2 linked regions of the Danio rerio genome follow. The protein of the gene in region 2 purifies or fractionates together with the protein of the main gene of each other region. This does not show direct contact. Links are inferred from orthologs where the notes say so. Each region holds a gene or a part of one and is shown on either strand. Other genes may lie near its edges.

Region 1 (3,930 bases), on a different chromosome or scaffold from region 2:
TTTGTCAGTTGTCGTTTCTGTGTAGAGTTTGCATGTTCTCCCTGTATTGGTGTGGGTTTCCTCCAGATGCTCCAGTTTCATGTGCTAAATCTCAAGTGGGTGAGCTAAAATTGGCCATGTATGTATGTGAATGCAAGAGTGTATGGATGTTTTCCAGTTCTGAGTTGCGGCTGGAAGGGCATCCGCTGCGTAAAACTTATGCAGGATAAATTGGCGATTCAGTCTGCTGTGGTGACCCCTGATTAAAAAAAAGAGACTAAGCCAAAGGGAAATGAATGAATAATATACATTTCGATTACAATAAAACGCTAAAATGTATTTACTTAGCACATTTTTTTTATGAATTAATTTGTCTATGCTTGTAGATTGTTTATTATATTCTATGAACTCCCCTTCAGAAGCATCCCTAAATAACACACATCGCAAACATTTATTCAGCTTATGTGGTAAAATTGTAGCCATATGGAAATATATAATCACAGAATAAAAACAAAAATTGCAATGTGTAATTTTTCCAATACCGTGCTTCCCTAATTTTATACACACACACACACACACACACACACACACACACACACACACACACACACACACACACACACACACACACACACACACACACACACACACACACACACTCTATCTCCAGCCACTTTATTAGGTACACCTGTTCAACTGCTCCTTAATTCAAATTTCTAATCAGTCCATCGCATGGCAGCGACTCAATGCATTTAGGCATGTAGACATGGTCAAGACAATGTGCTGCAGTTCAAACCGAGCATCAGAATGAGGAAGAAAAAGGATTTAAGTGACTTTGAATGTGGCATGGTTGTTGGTGCCAGATGGGCTTGACTGAGTATTTCAGAAACTGCTGATCTACTGAGATTTTCCCGCACAACCATCTCTAGGGATTACTGAGAATGGTCCGAAAAGAAAAATAAATAAAAAATCCAGTGTGAGGCACTTCTGTGGGTGCCAATGCCTTGTTGATGCCAGAGGTCAGAGGAGAATGGCTAGATAGAAAGGTAACAGTAACTCAAATAACCGCTCGTTACAAATGAGGTATGCAGAAGAGCATCTCTGAATGCACAACACATCAAACCTTGAGGCAGATGTGCTACAGCAGCAGAAGACCACAGCGGGTGCCATCATCTCAGACTGGTTTCTTGAACATGACAATGAGTTCACTGTACTAAAATAGCCTCCACAGTGACCAGATCTCAATCCAATAGAGCACCTTTGTGATATGGTTAAAGGGGAAATTCGCATCATGGATGTGCAGCCGACAATAAGTAAGAGATGAGAGAAAGTCTCCATTTCAAGGTCTGTATTGTCTATGGACAATGTTGTGAAGTAATTTTCCATTGCTGTTGCTTGTGGTATAATAACACTGGACTTATCCTGGTCAGACGAAGTATGAGCATGCACTGAAACACATGCAGCTTTTTATTATCATCACTTCGTCTCCTGCATCTGCTCTTCTCTTGCTTCCTCCTATATTGATAGTAGACTGTTAATTCAGTTGAATATTGGTTAACAGTTTGGGTATTGCTCTGCTGACTTGTTGTCCAAATACCTGGAGAAACTGACATTTCCTGACAAGATCAAGCATCCAGGACTGGATCGTATTTATCTGGCGTGGAGACTGTGGTCTAACACCTTTAACCATTGACTTCCATAGTACGAAAAACGAATACCATGGAGGTCAATGGTTATGTTTTCAGCTTTCATCAAAGTATCTTCTGTTTGTTCCATTTTGGGTGAACTGTCCCTTTACTAATAATGCTTTTCAAGATATGTTGAACTGATTAATTAAGATTGTACAATGCTTGGACAATGCTTGTGTTGTCTCATTGTAAATCACACAAAGTCATTGTGAAAACACAACAGCAAACCCCCTGGCACTGCTTTTCCAGAAGGCTACAGCATTATTCAGAACTTATTCAGTACAATGAACTTAATGCAATAGCTTTACCTACTAAAATACACGAAAGGAATGTATTGATTACGTCCATGTAGGAAAACAAATGGTGATATTCCTTTAATCCAAACCAAGTGAATCTGACATTATGTGTATTTCACCTCTGCACTGAGTTTGGCTCCATGCAGCCGCCCGTGATTTCTACCCTCGATGGTCCCCTGTCGAACTCCCTCGTCAAAGCCCTCCTGATAACCTTCAACATGAAACCTAAAAGAGAAAAGCATATTTATGAGCCTAAATGTAAATTAATAACAGCTAAGGACACTGAACTAACTTAAACACACACTTACACACTGGACTACATTGATGAACACTAACTTCGTGACGCAACAGTTTGTGCGTGACTTTAGTTAACGTTACCTGTCATCGGCCATGATGATGGAGTCAAACAAATCATCATTATTGGGCTCAAATGCCATTTTTACATTAAAATAGCTTGCTTTCCTGATCAGAAGAGTTTACGGGTGGTCTTCCGGAATCGTTCTTCTTCGGTCCTAGCCGAATGTTAACACCGATGGGACTGAACCAACGCGCCGTCTACTGGAAGGAAAGCTAAAGGTTTGCATCACTAACTGTGTGTATTTCTGATCAGATCTTGAAATAAGTTGGATATCCGGTTGTTTGTACTGAAAGAAAGACGTCAGTCGGTAACAATAATATTTAAAGATTTACCGGTTTGCATTTTTAGATCTGCACTGAAGAGTGAAGACCAAATACGTATTTTCAGGTGTCAAATACGGTAAGCTATCATTTACTTATTCTCACAATTTTTATTGTGAATATATCGCTATTTTGTCTTTTCATGGAATATACTGTTCGTGTTTTCAAACGAAGGCTTATTTTGGAGATATGCTAGCATGCTAGCACGTTTACATGCGGTCCTACACTAATAAAACATTACTACTTCGACCATAATAATAATATCGTTAAAAACTCAATAACTACAATAAGTATACATTAAAATGTCTAAAACAATCAATAATATAAGATGTATTAGTATATTTCACCTAAATGTAAGCCTAATATCTAATTTCGACAGTGAATTGAGGAGTATGATAATGTCTTGTTTTTTGTTTTTGTTTTCTGACCAAACACATTACTGTAATTTATATGGCATTATTTACAGAATGTATTTATTTAATAAAATGTCCTTCAGTATAACCGTAGTTCATATAACAAGAACTTGTCAGTCATATTTAGATCAATAAACATTTGATGAAGTGTTTAGACCAGAGATGCCCAAAGTTGGCCCATGGTAACCTTTGATTTGGCACACTATCACATATCAGCCTTATGCCATCTGAGAAGTGAGGGAGAACGATGACAAGGTGGTTGTTTTTTTTAATTTTATTTTTTTATTGCTGAGATACAAAAAAAAAAAAAAAAAAAAACAGTCAACGGAAAGTAAATGATTCAATTAAATGTTTTAAATAAATCAGACTTCTAAAATGTAAATACTGTCACTCGACAGATAGAGGTAGGTAAATAAAGGTAAAGGCAGGAGCAGCTCTGAGCAGTGTATTCAGTATTGAACTCCATTATGTTATAAATGGGATTGTTTATGATTTTACTGTAATAAGTTCATTATAACATCTTAAAATTAAACTAGAGTAGTTAATTTGATTTAAAGTAACATTTTCTAGTTTTTATTAAACATTAAATAAATTAGAAAATTACCCATGGCAAATTTAATGTATACGCTTTAGTATCCAGTTGAATTATTAGCCCCCCTTTGAATGTTTTTTCTTTTTCAAATATTTCCCAAATGATGTTTAACAGAGCAAGGAAATTTTCACAGTATGTCTGATAATATTTTTTCTTCTGGAGAAAGTCTTATTTGTTTTATTTCAGCTAGAATAAAAACAGTGTTTAATAATAAAAAAAAACATTTTTATGTCAAAATTATTAGCCCCTTTTAGCTATTTTTTTCATTATTCTACAGAACAAAT
Region 2 (3,830 bases):
TGGCGGTTCATTCCGCTGTGGCGACCCCGGATTAATAAAGGAACTAAGCCGACAAGAAAATGAATGAATGAATAATATACAATGCAATTTATATTGCTATAATATATTTGATATATTATTCGAGATTCACTCCCCTACAAAATTACCCTAATGAATCTAAAATGAAGAGTTCTTTTCCAAATAAAGCTCTTCAAGTCATGTGGTAAAACTGTATTCACATCAAAATATATAATAGCAGAAAAACAAAATATGTCAGAAGTCAATGTCAGATTTTTTTCAATATCTTGCAGCCTCAGTAAGACCATTAATGTTCAAAACAAACAAATTCCAAGAGCTTACAATGTAAATCAATGAGATCTTCATAACAGCACAGCAGACTATTTGCATAAAATGCATATAAATTAGCTATCGCAATATACAGTTGAAGTCAGAATTATTTGTTCTCGTGTGAATTTTTAACTTTTTAAAAATTATTTCCCAAGTGTTGCTTAATGGAGAGATTATAACATTTGTTATACTAATCTAAATTGTAGTAGCTAATATCTTTTATCTTTGCCATGATGACTACATAAAATTAGACTAGATATTCATCAAGACACTAGTAATCAGCTTAAAGTGACATTAAAGGCTTAACTAGGTTAAAGTTAGAGTAATTAGGCAAGTCACTGAATAGCAGTAGTTTGTTCTGTAGACAATCAACACAAATAAAGCTTAAATGGGCTAATAATATTGACCTTAGAACAATTTTTATATACATACATAATGTCTAAGTATAATATTTAAAATATTTAAAGTTTTTTGGATCAATTATTTGTAGTTTCAAAGCATATAATACTAAAATGACTGAGAGGTTAAAAATGTTGATATTTAAATGTTTCAGAGCAGGGGTGCCCAAACTCAATCCTGGAGGGCCGGTGTCATGCAGATTTTAGCTCCAACTTGCCACAACACACCTGCACGGATGTTTCTAAAAAGCCTGGTAAGAACTTGATTATCTAGCCCAAGTGTGTGGGATTGAAGTTGGTACTAAATTTTGCAGGACCCTCAAGCACTCAAGTGGTGCTCGCTGCAGAGCCATTTGGGCGAGCTGAGCTCCAGCGAGGGGGAGCTTGAGCTTGAGCTCCACCTTTTTTGCACTTCTTCTACAAGTGATGTCACTGGGGGTAGGGTTAGGGGTGGGGTTGGTGTACGCATTAAAACAGCTTACAGGAGGCAGAACGAGAGCTCATGCTCCCCCTCGCTGGAGCTCAGCTCGCCCAAATGGCTCTGCAGCGAGCACCATTTCCAAGCACTGGGCACTCATGCTTTAGAGGCTTTGGATGATCAATCACGCTGAGGAACAGCAAAAGTAATGGTTCTGGAAATTAATCCTTCTCAAAAGCCTAATTAATTATATCTGATGCATCTGAACAGGATTCTACTAAAATGTGTATAGATAATCCACTAAGCTGAAGCTCACTAATGATAAATGAATATAAACCTCAGAAACATCCATATATTTTTGTATGCATTAAACCTGTTGCTTTAATACCTTAATGCAGATTCCACATCCGATGCAGAGAGACTCTGAGATCCAAACGATTTTACTCTGAGGTGAGACTTCAATACACAGCTTACCTGAGGAAAAAACAAAACAAAAACATTAGACATCAATGATACAGAATACCACGAGCAAATAAAATAAGATCAGCTAAAAACACAGTGTGTTTCTTACCCATCCGCACCACAGGACAGCTCTTCTTGCACTCCTGACGGCATTTCTTGGGTTTGCACTTGTCGTGGTTGACGATAGCGATTCTGGTGTTCTTGTCCGCCATTTGCCTGGTTTGATGTTCGCGCACTGGCGACGCAGATCTACAGGAACAGATGAGGTCTAGACCTCACTACAGAGAGAAGGAGAGTTTTGTGTTTAGTTCCATTATCAGCTTACCTGGATAATTCATGGCAAAAACACATCAAATGTACAAATTAACTAGGCGCTATTGTGGAATATATTGTAATGTGTGAAATGTGTACCGTAAACTTATTTTTTTGAGTGGAGCATTGCCAATTGCTTTATATTTTAACAAATGACTTACTTTTAATATTTCAACACACTAGAATTGTCATTGTTTTTATGATGTATTTTTGAAGGAAAATTTTGTTATTTCCTTAAAGTGTTTACATATTTATATTTTCATACTTAAGCTTTCTTTTTCTGTTACTCAATTGGGATTTATTTTACAGGGTTTCTGCAGGAAATCTACAAGCCTAATGACTTTTTATGACCATTAGGAATGAAATGTTAGGGTGCTTTCACATCTGTAGTTCGCTTCATTTGGTCCGGACCAAGGGTATTAAATGATACATTGTTGCATTTTCTGCCGTCTTTGGGTCGTTTTCACACCACACTGCTGGCTTTGGTCCGAACCAGTTGAAACGAACCAAAATGCGGTCATCTGACAAAATCCACATCACTTATTGGCCAGATGTTGTTGAACATATTTCCTAAACTGCTTATTGATTGGTCAGAATTCATGTGCGGTAAAATGCCTTTGAACTCCCGCAAGTAAACAAAACTGGCAGACACAAAATGTCGCTTTTACTCTGGAGGGACGACTGCGCTGACTGATTGTATTATTGCTTTAGACAAACTATACATTACGAAAATGAAGCGCGGCCGCGGCTGTAAAAAAATGTTTTAATGCATCGCACGTCACTTCAGGAGGAAGGGTGAATTAATTTAGCTAAACTGCAACATGGTCATCTTGCGGAAATATTACCAACGATCCATCAGATAATGTTATTCTCTCTCTCTCTCTCTCTCTCTGTTGGTAAAGCGCTGTCAACAAATATTTTTCCTCCATATCCGATAATGCACAGCGCATCGGCCTACGGCAGCTGAATTAGTCCAAAACGCGAAGTACTTTTTGCGGTTGGACCTGTTTTAGTACAGATCATATTCTCACCACAAACAAACCGCTCCAGGGTTCGTTTGAAAGCGTACCGAGACCACCTCTTCAAGCAGGTCTCGGTACACTTATTCGGTCCACTTTTGGTGCGCACTCGAGTACGATTGCTGCATTCACACCTGCCCAAACGAACCGCACCAAAAGGGGAAACAAACTCTAGTGCGATTCAATCAAACTAAATAAGGCAGGTGTGAAAGCACCTTAGGCTTATGCAGGGTTGAGACTTTTTCTAGCATTATCGTGAGGAATAGTGTAATTGTTTTAATTTTTTTTTTCCTGATTGGGGAATTTAATTTGAAAAACTTGCTGTTAAAATATGTAACAGCTGTTAGGAATTGTATCTCAATAAAAAAAAAACTTAAATATAAAAATAAGATTTTATTGAGATGTATTGTTGGGGACTGTATGATTGTTGGCCCAACTGTATAGCTTTACTTAGACAAAGCAAAATGAAGTCCTATTTAAAACGATTTAAGACCTACAAACTAAAACTGCGGCGAATTTAAGACTTTTTAGGGGCCTAAAACTTAGTTTTTGAAATTTAAGTTGTATTTTGTACACTATAGTAATATGCTTAAAAACAAAATAATCAAATAAAATAAAGATCTTTTCTTTTCTTATAAGATTAATATTTCATTATATAAAGCCCTTTTGTACATTTTCTGGCAAAATTACCTTTATATAACCTATATTGTGAAAGTTATAGTTAGCATAAAAAAACGTTCTCATACTGTGAAATTTTAGTCATACCGCCCAGTCCTATTTACAAACAACAATTTTCTTTAATAAAAAAATAGGTTTATAACAAAAAATACATCTTCAAACTCAATAAATCATACTTTAAAGAAAAATCAAATACTACTTTTTAGAGTTATTTTA

Evidence for each region.
Region 1: the proteins of abce1 (region 2) and lto1 purify together in Homo sapiens (affinity purification with mass spectrometry; 4 studies listed by BioGRID and IntAct, with this or other methods). This does not show direct contact. The link is inferred for Danio rerio from reciprocal best matches to the Homo sapiens genes ABCE1 and LTO1.

Annotation. Positions count from the first base shown.
Region 1 is NC_133182.1:69,607,226-69,611,155, reverse strand, and holds the start of lto1 (protein LTO1 homolog), read right to left. Parts: upstream 2,449-3,930; 5' UTR 2,401-2,448; coding exon 2,342-2,400; intron 2,189-2,341; coding exon 2,083-2,188; intron 1-2,082. UniProt on the Homo sapiens protein: The complex LTO1:YAE1 functions as a target specific adapter that probably recruits apo-ABCE1 to the cytosolic iron-sulfur protein assembly (CIA) complex machinery. May be required for biogenesis of the large ribosomal subunit and initiation of translation.
Region 2 is NC_133198.1:47,448,462-47,452,291, forward strand, and holds part of abce1 (ATP-binding cassette sub-family E member 1), read right to left. Parts: intron 1,884-3,830; 5' UTR 1,818-1,883; coding exon 1,715-1,817; intron 1,618-1,714; coding exon 1,532-1,617; intron 1-1,531. UniProt on the Homo sapiens protein: Nucleoside-triphosphatase (NTPase) involved in ribosome recycling by mediating ribosome disassembly. Able to hydrolyze ATP, GTP, UTP and CTP. Splits ribosomes into free 60S subunits and tRNA- and mRNA-bound 40S subunits.